2 linked regions of the Oryctolagus cuniculus genome follow. The protein of the gene in region 1 purifies or fractionates together with the protein of each later gene. This does not show direct contact. Links are inferred from orthologs where the notes say so. Each region holds a gene or a part of one and is shown on either strand. Other genes may lie near its edges.

Region 1 (7,013 bases):
GTCCTCATCCTCCAGCGTGTGGTCTTTACCCACTTTCTGAGGGTTGTGCTTCACAGAGAGACCCCAGACCAGAGCGCTGTATGGGAGGAAGAAAGGACAGTCAGCGGAAACGCGAACCCCGCTCTGCGCCGTCTGCCGAGGGCCGCACTCTGCTCTCACCGAGCACCCCAGCCCTGCAGAGCCACAGCCCTACGGCAGCGGCTGCCACAGACAGCACACCAGGCAGCGCTCACCTGCCTCCTCAGTCCAACCTAAAGTCAGGGACAGTGCACGTGCGTAACGTCAAGAGAAGAGGTGGAAATTTCAAAGATTCAGTAAACCCGAAGCATGGATTTATTACTAAGAAATACCCTCAAAACATCAGATTGAGATGGCTTGTCAGTCACACAGTGTCAGTTACAGAGGGTTGGAGAAAATTTCCATCAGTGGGTACAGACCAGACTCAAGTCTCCCTCCTCAGCCACGCTATGAAACCCTTCCTTCCCTATCAGAAAACTGTCAATTGGAATGGGCTCCATCCAGATTCTTGGACTATAGGATGGTAATTTATATCCACAAGCCTCCAAAATGCACAGTGTGCTCTGAGAGAGATGGGAATTTACTGAACATAACACTGACTGCCTCCCACAGACTGAGGACTAGGCAACAAGGGGCAAAGAGAAAAAGTGGCCATATTATGTTACATTGTTACTGCACTAAAACTTCTTTAAAATTTTATAGTCCAGTAAGAAATCAACAAAGAAAAGACCACGTTTTAAAAAAAACACATATCAGTAATAGATATAAATTAATACAAATAAAAGTTTGAAAGGTTTATTTATTTGAAAGACAGTTACAGAGAGACAGGGAGGGACAGAGAGGTCTTCCATCCACTGGTTTTCTCCCAAATGGCCGCAACAGCCAGGACTGAGCCAGGCTGAGGCCAAGAGTCAAGAGGTCCATCCAGGTCTCTCATGAGGGTGGCAGGGTCCAAGTACTTGGCCATCATCTGCTGCCTCCCAAGGAACAATAGCAGGGAACGGAATTGGAAGTAGAGAGCAGCTCGACCCACTGCACTCAAAACACTGACCCCAACAAACAAAAATTTTCAAATGCACTAACAAACATATTTAAGTACAGAGTGATCATTTTACAAATGTAAACAGTTCAGCTGTTCTGGAAAGTAAAAACACAGCAAAAACCATTTAAGTATCAATGCTACTTCTATAGTAAAGTCTTCGAAAATTATCAATAGCAACACAAGGGGCCAACAACTGGGACTGTGGGTTAAGTTGCCACTTGCAACATCAGCAATGTATATGGAAGTGCTGGCTGGAGTCCCAGCAAAACTGCTATTGTTCAAGCCAGCTTCCGGCTGATGAGCCTGGGAAAGCAGCCAAGGATGGCCCAAGTACCTAGGCCCCTGCCAACTACATGAGACGGTTCCAGGCTCCTGGCTTCAGCCTGGCACAGCCTGGGCCAATGTGGCCAGTTAGAGAGTAAGCTAGCAGACAGAAACTGTCTCCCCCTCCATCGCTGTAACCCTGCCTTTCAAATTAAAAAAAAAAAAAAAAAAAAAAAAAAAAAAAAAAACACAACACAGAAGATAAAAGAGTTGCTCATGTCCAAAGCAACAAATATTAGATGACAGCCTACAGACCAAAAATCCAAGAGTTCATACCAATATACATTATGGATTAAATAAACAGGGGACAAGTGACAGCTCTAACTCACAGGAGAATTCCAATAAATAAATTTTAAACTTCAAAAGAGAAAGAAATGGCCAGCGCCATGGCTCACTGACTAATCCTCTGCCTGTGGCTCCAACACCCTGGGTTCTAGTCCTGGTCGGGGCGCTGTATTCTGTCCCGGTTGCCCCTCTTCCAGTCCAGCTCTCTGCTGTGGCCCAGGAAGGCAGTGGAGGATGGCCCAAGTCCTTGGGCCCTGCACCTGCATGGGAGACCAGGAAGAGGCACCTGGCTCCTGGCTTCAGCCTTGGCCCAGCTCTGGCCATGGAAGCCATTTGGGGAGTGGACCAGCAGATCTCTATCTCTGCCTTTCAAATACATAAATAAATCTTTAAAAAAAAAAAAAAAAAAGCCAAGATCAGGGACTGGTGTTGTAGTGCAGCAGGTTAAGCCACCACCTGCAATACCAGCCTCCCTTATGAGCGCAGGTCTGAGCTGCTCTGCTTCCAACCCAGCTCCCTGCTAATGCTCCTGGGACAGCAGCAGAAAATGGTCCAAGTGTTTGGGCCCCTGCACCCATGTGGGAGACCCAGATGGAGTTTCAGGCTCTGGGATTTGGCCTGGCCATTGTGTCCATCCGGGGAGTGAACCAACAGGTGGAAGATCTGTCTCCCTCTCTTGCTGCCTTTTAAATAAATCCTTAAAAATAACAATAAAAAGATAAATAAAAGCATCAAGGTCATCAAAGAGTGAAAATCTAAGGAAATACTGGGGGTCTAGAACACTGGAAGGCTAAGAAAAACTAACAATTCCATGCCATGTAGGTTCCTGGAACATAAAACAGACACTGGCAGGAGAAGCAGTACATTTCAAGTAAGATTTGTAATTCAGTGAATGGTGCAGTGCCAAAGTCTACGTCCGGCCCGTGGTATCTGGAGTACACAGTAACGGAAGCTGCTATTGTCACAAGTGGGGTGAGGGGTAAAAGTAAACTCTTTTTGTGCTTTTTTCTGTTTGCCCCTTTTCTGTAAACCTGAAATTAGTTCAAAAAAATTTTTTTTAAAGTATTGAGCTGAGTGCCAGCGCTTTGGCGCAGCAGGTTAATACCCTGGCTTAAAGTGCCGGCACCCTGTATGGGCGCCAGTTCGAGACCCGGCTGCTCCACTTCCGATCCAGCTCTCTGCTATGGCCTGGGAAAGCAGTAGAAGATGGCCCAAGACCTTGGGCCCCTGCACCCGCGTGTGAAACCTGGAAGAAGCTCCTGGCTCCTGGCTTTGGATTGGCGCAATTCCAGCTGTTGCGGCCAATTGAGGAGTGAACCATCAGAAGGAAGACCTCCCTCTCTCTCCCTCCCTCTCTCTCTGCTTCTCCTCTCTCTGTGTAACTCTGACTTTCAAATAAATAAATCTTTTAAAACAGTTTTGAGCTGCTATCAGTAGTGAAAAGTTAAAGAAAAAGATCACAGGGAGGGGCTGGCGCTGAGGCACAGCGGGTTAAAGCCCCAGCCTGCAGCGCCAGCATCCCATATGGGCACCAGTTCAAGTCCCAGCTGCTCCACTTCTGATCCAGCTCTCTGCTATGGTCTGGGAAAGCAGTAGAAGATGGCCCAAGTCCTTGGGACCCTACACCCACGTGGGAGACCCCGAAGAAGCTCCTAGCTCCAGATCATCTCAGCTCTGGCCATTGTGGTAATTTGGGGAGTGAACCAACAGAATGGAAGACCACTCTGTCTCTCGCTCGGCCTCTCTCTCTGTAACTCTTTCATATGAATAAAATAAATCTTAAAAAAAAAATTTAAAAAAAAGATCAAGCCGGCGCCATGGCTCAATAGGCTAATCCTCCGCCTGCGGTGCCGGCACACCGGGTTCGAGTCCCGGTCGGGGCACCGGATTCTGTCCCAGTTGCCCCTCTTCCAGGCCAGCTCTCTGCTGTGGCCCGGGAGTGCAGTGGAGGATGGCCCAAGTGCTTGGGCCCTGCACCCCATGGGAGACCAGGAGAGGCACCTGGCTCCTGTCTGTGGATCAGCGCGGTGCGCTGTCTGCAGTGGCCATTGGGGGGTGAACCAACAGAAAAGGACGACCTTTCTCTCTCTCTCTGACTGTCCACTCTGCCTGTCAAAAATAATAACAATAAGAAGAAGAAGAAAAAGAAAAGATCACAGGGATTCTAAGTTTTAGAGGAGGAGTCAGTACCCAGTGGAGGCCACGATAACCTGGCAGGGAGAATCCATCTTTGTGCTTGCCACCAAGATGAATTAATGAAGGGAAATGAAAGCCCCTTGGCAGCAGCGCCCTGCTGACCTCCGGAGCTCTCCCTGTCCGCCGACACACCGAGCCCTCACGCGGTCCTGAGACTGCATGTGAAGGCAGGGGCTCACAAAGCAAAGGCGGTCCCACGTGCCCTTGCTACTTACTACTTAAACTCCTTGATAAGATTCTTGTGAATTTTCATGCAGAAATCCTCCACCGTGGTCCTCGAGTACGGCAGCACCACCGGGGACGTGTAATCCGGCAACTGGCCCTTGGGCTTGGTGTAACTAGGAGAGAGGGGGCGACAGAGGTTACACCTACTTAGAACGCTTCACATGTGGGATGCCAACCAATCCCGCAGCACCCCGAGGTCGGACCAGGATAACCTCCCCCCTGGGGAAGAAAGCACCCTCAATGTGACCTAGCGATGACGAAGCCGACTTCCGTGTGTCACAGAACACGGCGAGATCGTGCGCAGGAGCTCCAGAGGGATCTTCCTAAGGCAGTCTGGCCTCCCTCCCGCAGCAGCAGCAGCCACGCACAAGGACTCACATCCTCACTAGTTTCAGGTAGTCCCAGATCTTCTCCAACAGGTCATCGAAGTTCCAGCGGTGATGGGCAGAGATCGGCACGCAGTGAGGCACCTTATAGATGATATCCAGTTCCTCAATGGAGATCTGATCAATCTTGTTTAAAACATAGATACAAGGGATATAAACTCTATGAAGCAGAAAAGAAAGAGGGAATTAGCCTGCAGTTGCTGACAAAATTGTGAGTCTAATGAGCAGCACCTCCTCCCTCAGGCCCCAAATCGGGACTTAATCAACAACTCCCTGCTTTAAAAAAGAATGAGTAGAAACTGTTAACCGTGGAGTCTGAGTTGAGAATTCACGCAGGCCCTGTTCACACTGCGCACCACGGGGTTTGTGACTGCCTAAGTCCACACTGCTCTGCTCTCAGACCCAGCTTCCTGCTCGTGCACTTCGAAGGCAGTGGGAGACAGTCCGAGCGTCTGGGCCCCACATCAGAGTCTAGGATGGACTGGCTGGCTCCTGGCTTCAGCCTGGTCCAGACTTGGTTTCTGTGGTCATCAGGAGAGTGAACTGAGGCCCGTGCTGTTGTGCGACAAGTTAAGCCGCTGCTTGATGCCAGCACCCCATACAGAAGTACTGGTCTGAGCCTGATTCTTATTTTTTAAGATTTATTTTATTTATTTGAAAGGCAGAGTTACAGAGAGGCAGAGGCAGAGAGAGAGAGAGAGAGAGGTCTTCCATCTGATGGTTCACTCCCCAAATGGCTGCAACAGCTGGAGCTGCGCTGATCCAAAGCCAGGAGCCAGGAGCTTCTTCCAGGTCTCCCATGTGGGTGCATGGGCCCAAAGACTTGGGTCATCCTCTACTCTTGTTTTTGTTTTTTTGAAGATTTATTTATTGGAGCCAGCGCTGTGGTGAAGTAGGGTAAACCTCCGCCTGCAGGACTGGCATCCCGTACAGGTGCTGTTTGTGTCCCGGCACGTGAGATTTCAACACTTCAGAGAAAGGAAGCATGTTAGAAATCAAGACCTGGTGGCCGGCACTGCGGCTCACTAGGCTAATCCTCCGCCTTGCAGTGCCGGCACACCGGGTTCTAGTCCCGGTCGGGGCACCAGATTCTGTCCCAGTTGCCCCTCTTCCAGGCCAGCTCTCTGCTGTGGCCAGGGAGTGCAGTGGAGGATGGCCCAAGTGCTTGGGCCCTGCACCCCATGGGAGACCAGGAGAAGTACCTGGCTCCTGCCATCGGATCAGCGTGGTGCACTGGCCGCGGCGGCCATTGGAGGGTGAACCAACAGCAAAAGGAAGACCTTTCTCTCTGTCTCTCTCTCTCACTATCCACTCTGCCTGTCAAAAAAAAAAAAAAAAAAGAAAGAAAGAAAGAAAGAAAAGAAAAGAAAAGAAAAGAAAAGAAAAGAAAAGAAAAGAAAAGAAAAGAAAAGAAAAGAAAAGAAAATCAAGACCTGGGGCCAGCATTGTGGTGTTACAGGTAAAGCTGCTGTCTGCAATGCTGGTATCCCATACGGGCATCAGTTCAAGTCCCAGCTGCTCCATTTCCAATCCAGCTCTCTGCTAACGTGCCTGGGAAAGCAGTGGAGGACGGCACAAGTACTTGGACCCTTGCTACCCACGTGGGAGACCCAAAAGAAGCTCCTGGTTTCCAGCTTCAGACTGTCACGGCCATTTGGGGAATGAACAAGTACACGGAAAATCTCTCTCTCGCTCTCTTTCAAATAAATTAAAAAAAAGAAAATGAAGACCAATCCCTCATTTTACTTCTAAAATACCCAAGCCCAAAACTGATAGCAGCACAACTGCAGTTCAGAATCGATTCATACTCCAGTACTGTTTCCACCACAAGGCTTCAAATTCACAAGAGCACAGACCGCACACTCCGTGCACACCTGTTCCCTTCCACCACGTCGATGAGGTCATCAGCCGTGGCATCGCTGCGCAGAGTCACATCCGCATTGTGGATTTTGTATTCAGCCAGAATGCTCTTCACGGTTTCCGCATCCAGTTCGCTCTGTGGGCACTGAATGGGCAGGGCAGACAATGACTAATCAGAGAGCACAGAACGGCAGCACCTACAAGTGGCTGCATACCCAAAATCTAGTTCTTTACCCTGGGTGAGAGTAACTGACTTCTAGCAGGAAATACATAAAAAGTTTAAATTGTCTCAACTCTGAAGAATGTGTTAAGAGTTGAATTGTATCATTATGTTGAAGTCCTAATCTCAGTATCTCAGAAGTCTGGAGATAAATCTGGAAAAAGGAAATTAAATGAGAATGAAGTCATTAGGGTGGGGTCATTAGCTGTGTCCTTATAAGAAAAGATCAGGACAGAGACACAGGCAAGGCTGTGAAGACACAGAAGACTGCCATCTGCAAACCAAGGAGAGCACTCCGAAGGAACCAATCCATCACCCAACCTCAGACTCTGCACCTCCAGAACTATGAAAAATAAATGTCTTTTGTTTTTGTTTTTTGTTTTTCACAGGCAGAGTGGACAGAGAGAGAGAGACAGAGAGAAAGGTCTTCCTTTACCTTTGGTTCACCCTCCAATGG
Region 2 (7,770 bases), on another chromosome or scaffold:
CGCCGGCGCCACGGCTCACTAGGCTAATCCTCTGCCTTGCGGCGCCGGCACACCGGGTTCTAGTCCCGGTCGGGGCGCCGGATTCTGTCCCGGTTGCCCCTCTTCCAGGCCAGCTCTCTGCTGTGGCCCAGGAGTGCAGTGGAGGATGGCCCAAGTGCTTGGGCCCTGCAACGCATGGGAGACCAGGAGAAGTAACTAACTCCTGCCATCAGATCAGCGCGGTGCGCCGGCTGCGGCGTGCGCGGCCATTGAAGGGTGAACCAACAGCAAAGGAAGACCTTTCTCTCTGTCTCTCTCTCTGTCCACTCTGCCTGTCAAAAAAAAAAAAAAAAAAAAAAAAATCACACTGAGGGGCTGGCTCTGTGGCATATTGAGTAAAATTGCCTCCTGCAATGCCCGCATCCCAGATGGGTGCCAGTTGAGACCTGGATGCTCCACTTCAGGTCCAGCTCTCTGCTAACGCTCCTGGGAAAGCAGTAGAAGACGGCCCAAGCTCCTGGCTTCAGCTTGGCCCAGCCCTGGCTGTTGTAGGAGTGAACCAGCAGATGGAAGATCTCTCATTTTGCCTTTCAAATAAATAAATAAAATTTTTTTAAATCCATACTGAAAAAGTCTTCTCCCCAAAACCAAAAATCACACTGTCTTAAGTTAGAAACTAGAAATAAATATTATATATTATATAAGACCTTTATAGCATCCCACTTATTAGCAGTGCTACAGCACTGACAAACCTGTGTCAAAAATATCATGGCACATTTTGGAAACACAGATCTGCTTCATGTAAAATTTCCAGTCAGTGAGAAAATGAAGGTCATGTTAAAGAAAAAGACATAATCCCCAGCAATGATGGGTTCTTCATAAAACACCCTAGCTTTCTTTATTTTCAAGTTGTGGTGGTCCGGGCTGGCAGTGTGGTGCAGCAGGTTAAAGCTCCAGCCTGCAGTGCTGGCATCCCATATGGGCACCAGTTCAAGTCCTGGCTGCTCCACTTCCAATCCAGCTCTCTGCTAGGGCCTGGGAAAGCAGTAGAAGATGGCCCAACTCCTTGGGCCCCTGCACCCACGTGGGAGACCGGGAAGAAGCTCCAGGCTCCTGGCTTTGGATAAGCTCAGCTTTGGCTCTTGCAATCATTTGGGGAGTGAACCAGCAGATGGAAGGACCCCCCCCCCCCACACACACACACTCTGTACTCTCTGCACTGTCTCTACCTCTCTCTCTGTGTCTTTCAAATAAATAAAATAATTCTTTTTTTTTTTTTTTTTTTTGACAGGCAGAGTGGACAGTGAGAGAGAGAGAGACAGAGAGAAAGGTCTTCCTTTGCCGTTGGTTCACCCTCCAATGGCCGCCGCGGCCGGCGCGCTGCGGCCGGCGCACCGCGCTGATCCAATGGCAGGAGCCAGGAGCCAGGTGCTTTTCCTGGTCTCCCATGGGGTGCAGGGCCCAAGCACCTGGGCCATCCTCCACTGCACTCCCTGGCCACAGCAGAGAGCTGGCCTGGAAGAGGGGCAACCGGGACAGAATCCGGCGCCCCGACCGGGACTAGAACCCGGTGTGCCGGCGCCGCTAGGCGGAGGATTAGCCTAGTGAGCCGCGGCGCCGGCCAAATAAATAAAATAATTCTTAAAAAAAAAAAAAAAGTTGTGGGTACCACTGAACTTTCCAAGGCTGGTTCCAGCTCTTTCTGAAAATAAGAGTAGGAAAAAAATTAAGGGATAAATGGGATAAATGGCTGTCCTGAAGTGTTCAAATAAATACAGGGAATGAGGCTGGAAACGCGAAGCCAGTGACGTCTGCGTAGCTGTGCGGCACTGTGGCTGAGTCCCGGCTTCAGAACTGTGCGGCTGGGCTCGATTCCTGCTTCACCGTTTCCTGTGTGTCCTTAGACAAGATACTTAACCCGTCTGTGCTACTTTCCTCGCCTGAACAAATGGTACTAACACGTCTTTTAGGACACACTATTTTTAAAAATATCAGCAACTTTGTAGATGAAATGAACTAGTACATAGAAAGCACTCGGAATAGCAAGCAGTTCACACACACTCTTTATGTCGGCGTCTGGTCTGGGGAAGAACTCCCTTTCACCACATTCCTACCCTGTTCCCCAAGACACAACCTCTCTCCTAGCCCCAGCCCCAGGAAAGAAAGAAAAGCCAGTTTCCACCAGGATCAGGCCAGATCTCCCAAACCAATACTGTTTTTACAAAAGTTGATACAGCATTTTCGATCTCGTCACATTTCCACATTTATAGAATGGGGAAGCCGAGGCCACAGAAGGACTAGTCATCCACCTGTCCAGAGCCACTAGGCGAATTCGAGGAAGGGTCGAGGAAATTCGCTCGATCTACAAACCCCAGGGAGGAACCCGAGGCCAAGAGGACCCCGAGCGTGTTTTGGCGGGCTAGGTCCTGCGCTTCACTCCCCAAAGGCAAGAGGGTCGAGCCGATCTCGTTGTCTTACCTCCTTGGGATCTCCGGCCCCGGTCAGCATCTTTTGCTCATCCTCCAGTCCCATGTCCGCCTACGGTTCTGGATTCAACAGCAGCAGCCACACGGTACCCACTCCAGTTGGGGATCAAGAAGGACTTGTAAGGGTCACTCGACGGATATCCGGCAATCTGGCCGGAAGTGCGGCATACTCCTCGTAGTCGCGAACACACGCTCTGATCGGCATGTACTATCGGCCAGAGGCAGAGGGTAGGGGGAGCTGGTATTTGTGCCTGAGGAGTCTTTACGAAGCAACATCCATTTAGTCATTCCAGACCCAAATGTTCTGATCTAAGAGGTTTTTTAAAAATAGTATGTCCTAAAAGACGTGAAGAATCTGCAAACTTATTCCACATTTCTTTTGCGCAGTTCCTGTTCTTACCTATATTGCTTATGGAGTCGTCCTAACTGCTGACCTTTTCAAGATGGCGGTCGGCGGACGCCGCTCTCGGGCTCGCGCACCTCCCCAAGATGGCGGCGCCCGAGGCCTGGCGCGCCCGGAGTTGCTGGTTCTGTGAGGTAGCGGCGGCAACGACCATGGAGGCCACGTCCCGGGAGGCGGCGCCAGCGAAGAGCTCGGCCTCGGGCCCCAGCGCTCCCCCCGCCCTGTTCGAGCTGTGCGGGCGGGCGGTGAGCGCCCATATGGGGGTTCTGGAGAGCGGGGTGTGGGGTAAGTCGCGGGGTGAGGGGCTACCTCTGGCAACGAGCGGGGGCGGCCCAGCGGCCAGGGGGCGCGGGGGGCGAGGCCGGGAGGCCCCGGGCAAGGCCCAGCCCCGGGCACTGGAAGCCCGATTGTAGGGTCGGAGCATGAATTCCATGACTGACAGGGCTGGACAGAGTAAAGAAGGAGACTAAATGGGCAGGTGGACCTGCACGGCGGCCTGACTTGGGGGCGCGGGGGGCGAGGCCAGGAGGCCCGGCGAGGGCGAAGGAGGCAGGGCCCGGGCGACAGAGGCTACACTGGCGAGCATGAGCCGTGGGTGCCGAACTGACACTCGGCTGAGCCGGGCTGGGGAACCTCGGATGTCGGACCGACGTGCAAGGGATAGCCCGGCTGTCCAGGCCAGGGACCGAGGTTGAGAGGCCTGGCCTAAGGCAATGAGGCCAGGCCCAGGGCCACCCAGCCCGACTGACGGCCCGGGGCCCCAGGCGTCGGCCTGACACCCCGCCAGTGCCAGGCTCTGGAGCCCACGCCGATGGGCGGGGGTGCGGCCGCGGATTGGAGAGCAGGGGAGTGGGGCTGAGGGAGAAGCCGAAGGGCTCGGGTCGCCGCGGCCTGTCCGACGGTGCCGGGCTGACGACCCGGCCTCGGGTGCCAAGCGGATCGAGCGGCGGAGCAGCCGGCGCGTCTGAGAACGCCGGAGGCCACTCGGATCTGCCGGAGTGGCCAGGGAGGCCGGAGAGCGGGCGGAGAGGGCCCGGGGCGGCTCAGCCAGCGAGGGAGGCTCGGACGTCGGGCGGGCTGGAAGGGCCCAGGAGGCCCCGGGTCGGGGATATCCCGGACTGTCCGGCCGGAATGGGAGGGGTGCGTCGCGGCGGAGAGGCCTTGAGGCCTTGGGCCAAATGGAAGTGACCGGAGGCCCTGGGCGTGAGGGCGGCCGGGAGCACAGGCCCGGGCCGCGGCGGAGGACATCCAGGCTGAAGAGCTAAGGCGCGCGGGTTGGGGCGCTGGGATGAGCGGCCGGGCAGGGTTGTGGGCCCGGGAGTCTGGCGGGCCGGGAGCGGAGGCCGGGAGGCCTGCTTGCCCGATGGGCCCGAGGAGGCCGTGTGTGGGGTGGGGCGGTGAGGAGTACCTGGGGAGTGAAAAGGGGAAAGTGAGGGTTGTGCGAAGCAGGCCTGGCTGCTGGGGGGGGGGGGGGGGTGTCGAGGGAGGCCTTGAGCCTGACAGTCTGCTGCTGTGAGGGGGAGGGGTCCCCGAGGCCAGGGCTGGAGCTGAGTGAGGAGTAGGCCAGGCCCATGGCCTGGAGGAAGAGGGGTGCAGGAGTGGAGGTTCTGGGTCAGGGGAGGGAAGGGGGCGTTTTTGCTGGGAGTAAGGCCCTGCTCAGGTCAGAAGTGGCGGCTTGAGGCCCCACTGTGGGGTTTGGAGGTGTGAGGTTGCACTGTGAGGAGGGGAATGGGGGAGAAAGGCCTGGGGTTTAGGGGGTTGGGGCTCCAGAATAAACTCCAAGGCTCTGGAGAGTGGTCAAGGAGGCCCTTGGTGGTGGGAGTGGGGCACCCTGGTGGGGGTGGGGAGAGGCCCTGTGCCAACAGCTGGGAAGGGTCAGGCTGACCGGTGGAAATTGGGAGAAAGATCCCTGAGGAGTTGAACAGGGGGCTCAGAAAAGGCCTGGGGAAGTTGGAAGAAGTCAGAGAGGGGCAGCATCAGCCTGGATGCCAAACCTGGCTAGAAGGGGGAGGCAGCTGCTTGTGGACCCCCACACTGGGAAAAGGAGGCATTAAAGGTGTAGTCTGGAAGGAAGCAAGCAAGACACTGGCTTATGAAGACTGGAGAAACAGGAGCTTGAAATAGGACATGAGAATTCCTGTGGCTGTCAGAGGGGATGGCTAAACAGGGGGCAGAATGGAGGGAGAAGAGGTAAGGGTCTGGAAGAACTTCCTTCTGTGTTGCTCCCCCCACCCCACCCCCCACCCCGCGCGCAAAACAATCAACTGAAAGTTTACTAAATTTCCTCCCCCACCACCCTCCTCCCTTGCTGTATGTACCAGCCAAATTGAGAGGCAGGAGAAAGAGTTGTGCCTAGACCAGGTCAGAGTCACACAGAAAAATGTGGATCAAATGAGGCCTTTTAGAAGAAGGGTCAAGAAAGAGGCCTGCTAAGCAGTGCTCCTGTGGATAAAGGTCTCAGCAAGGGCTGGGAAACAGCCTGGAAAGGCTTCAGAGAGGCAGTGGACCAGCATTGCTTTGTGTAAGGAGTGGGGAAGGGGCAGTGAGTAGAGGCAGCAAGAAAGGGTACAATGAGGAAACCTAGGTGGAATAAAGTATATTAGACTGTAAATGCCAGGTGTGAGATGGATGCAGTAGAACCTTTGAAGTGTTATTTAAACATGTAGAACCTTTGAAGTGTTATTTAAACATGTTTTCCCTTTTTCCAGTTGCATCTTATTTATTTTACTCTTATTTGAGAGACAGAGAGCGCTCCCATCCACTGGCTGGTTTACTCCCCCAGTCCCTACAATGGTGGGAGCTGGGGACAGGTTGAAACCAGGAGCCTGGAAGTCAAGCTGGATCTCATGTTGGGGGCATGGACTCAACTACTTGAGCTGTCACCTGCTGCCTCCTAGGATGAGCGTTAGCAGGAAGCGGGAATCAGGAGCAGAGCTGGGGCTCAAACTCAGGCACTTTGATGTGGGGTGAGGGCATCCCAAGCAGTATCTTAACTGCCAGGCCAAACACCCACCCTTTTTGAGGGGTTTGAAGAGGGGAATGTCATCACCAAGAGCAGGATACAGCGAGACTGAGGTTAGGAGAGCAATTAGAATGTTGCAATAGGCCAGCGCCGCGGCTCAATAGGCTAATCCTCCACCTAGAGGCGCCGGCACACCAGGTTCTAGTCCTGGTCGGGGCGCCGCATTCTTTCCCGGTTGCCTTTCTTCCAGGCCAGCTCTCTGCTGTGGCCTGGGAATGCAGTGGAGGATGGCCCAAGTGCTTGGGCCCTGCACCCCATGGGAGACCAGGAGAAGCACCTGGCTCCTGCCTTCGGATCAGCACGGTGCGCCAGCTGTGGCGGCCATTGGAGGGTGAACCAACGGCAAAAAGGAAGACCTTTCTCTCTGTCTCTCTCTCTCACTATCTACTCTGCCTGTCAAAAAAAAAAAAAAAAAAAAAAAAAAATGTTGCAATAGTCCAAATGATAGGTGATGTGTGTTAGTAAAATGGTGCAGTCCTATCTGTGGTGTGATCTACACCCCGGACACCATCCTTGGCCCTAGCCCCTGCTGCCATTGCTAGAAGCCAGGTGACCACATGGCCCAACCACAGGTGTCAGCTCTACCCCTACCCTAATGGGATTTGCTGCTCCTATTTCCCTGCCCCCCAGAAAGGTCTAAAAGGACCTGCTTCCTGCACACGTGTGCTCTCTACAGATCTATCTCTGTCAGCCCCCCCCCCCTTCCTCCAGCCTACTGGACTTCCCCTATCAATAAACCCTTTCCCTTAACTCTGGTGTTTGGTGTGTTTTGTGATGGCCTTACAATGTGGCCTGGGTAAGTGTAATAGCATAGGGAAGTAACACTTCCAGCATGTACATTAAGTACCTACTATGTATAAAGAATTGTGCTAAATTCTTAGATATCAAGATTCAGTTATTGGGGCTGATGTTGTGGCGTAGCGAGTAAAGCTGCTGCCTGCAACACCAGCATCCCATATGAGTGCTGGGTTAGATTCCTGACTGCTCCACTTCCCATCCAGCTCCCTGCTAATGAACCTGGGAAAGCAGTGGGAGATGGCCCAAGTGATTGGGCCCGTGCACCCACACAGAGATCTCGAAAAAGATTCTGGCTCCTGGCTTTGGATCTGCCCAGCTCTAGCCATTGTGGCCATTTAGGGAATGAACCAGTGAATGGAAGGCGGTTTCTCTCTGTGTAACTCTGCCTTTCAAATAAATAAATAAATCTAAAAAATTTAGTTATTATACAAGGAAAGATAAAAGGAGACCTAGAATGGAAGCTTTGCTATGCTCCAAGATCTTAAACCTGTTTTTGATGGAACAGAGATGCTACTGACAGGATAAAATAATAGTAGGGGCCAGTGCTCTGGTGTAGCAGGATGCAGTGCCGGCAATCCATATGGGTGCCAGGTTGAGTCCTGGCTGCTCCACTTCTGATCCAGCTCTCTGCTATGGTCTGGGAAAGCAGTAGAAGATGGCCCAAGTCCTTGGGCCCTGCACCCGCCTGGGAGACCCAGAAGAAGGTCCTGGCTCCTGGCTTCAAATCAGCACAGCTCCAGCCATTGTAGTCAGTTGGGGAGTGAACCAGCAGATGGAAGACCTCTCTTTCTCTCTCTCTGCTTCTTCTTCCCTCTCTGGAACGCTGACTTTCAAATAAACAAATAAATCTTTAAAAAAAAAAGTGAGTAATAGCCAACATTTAGTGAACTTCTTATGGCAAGACATTATCTTGAGCAGATTGCAACTGTGATCTCCTTTAATCTTCACAACAGTTTCAGGAGGTAGTTATTATAATCTCCATTTTAAAATTGAGGAACATGAGGCTTGAAGAGGTTAAATAATTGGTCTAAGGATTCACAACTAAGTTGTACAGTTAGGATTTGACCAAATTCATCCAACTC

What was found. The genes of interacting proteins can lie anywhere in the genome.
Region 2: the proteins of DRG1 (region 1) and LRRC41 purify together in Homo sapiens (affinity purification with mass spectrometry; 3 studies listed by BioGRID and IntAct, counting the BioPlex papers as one, with this or other methods). This does not show direct contact. The link is inferred for Oryctolagus cuniculus from reciprocal best matches to the Homo sapiens genes DRG1 and LRRC41.

What each region holds. Positions count from the first base shown.
Region 1 is NC_091452.1:24,557,642-24,564,654, reverse strand, and holds part of DRG1 (developmentally-regulated GTP-binding protein 1), read right to left. Parts: intron 6,482-7,013; coding exon 6,351-6,481; intron 4,637-6,350; coding exon 4,469-4,636; intron 4,204-4,468; coding exon 4,081-4,203; intron 77-4,080; coding exon 1-76. UniProt on the Homo sapiens protein: Catalyzes the conversion of GTP to GDP through hydrolysis of the gamma-phosphate bond in GTP. Appears to have an intrinsic GTPase activity that is stimulated by ZC3H15/DFRP1 binding likely by increasing the affinity for the potassium ions.
Region 2 is NC_091438.1:126,470,839-126,478,608, forward strand, and holds the start of LRRC41 (leucine-rich repeat-containing protein 41), read left to right. Parts: upstream 1-2,901; 5' UTR 2,902-2,954; coding exon 2,955-3,153; intron 3,154-4,728; exon of another isoform or gene 4,729-5,058; intron 5,059-7,770. Other genes in the region: UQCRH (cytochrome b-c1 complex subunit 6, mitochondrial), read right to left, coding at 2,458-2,511. UniProt on the Homo sapiens protein: Probable substrate recognition component of an ECS (Elongin BC-CUL2/5-SOCS-box protein) E3 ubiquitin ligase complex which mediates the ubiquitination and subsequent proteasomal degradation of target proteins.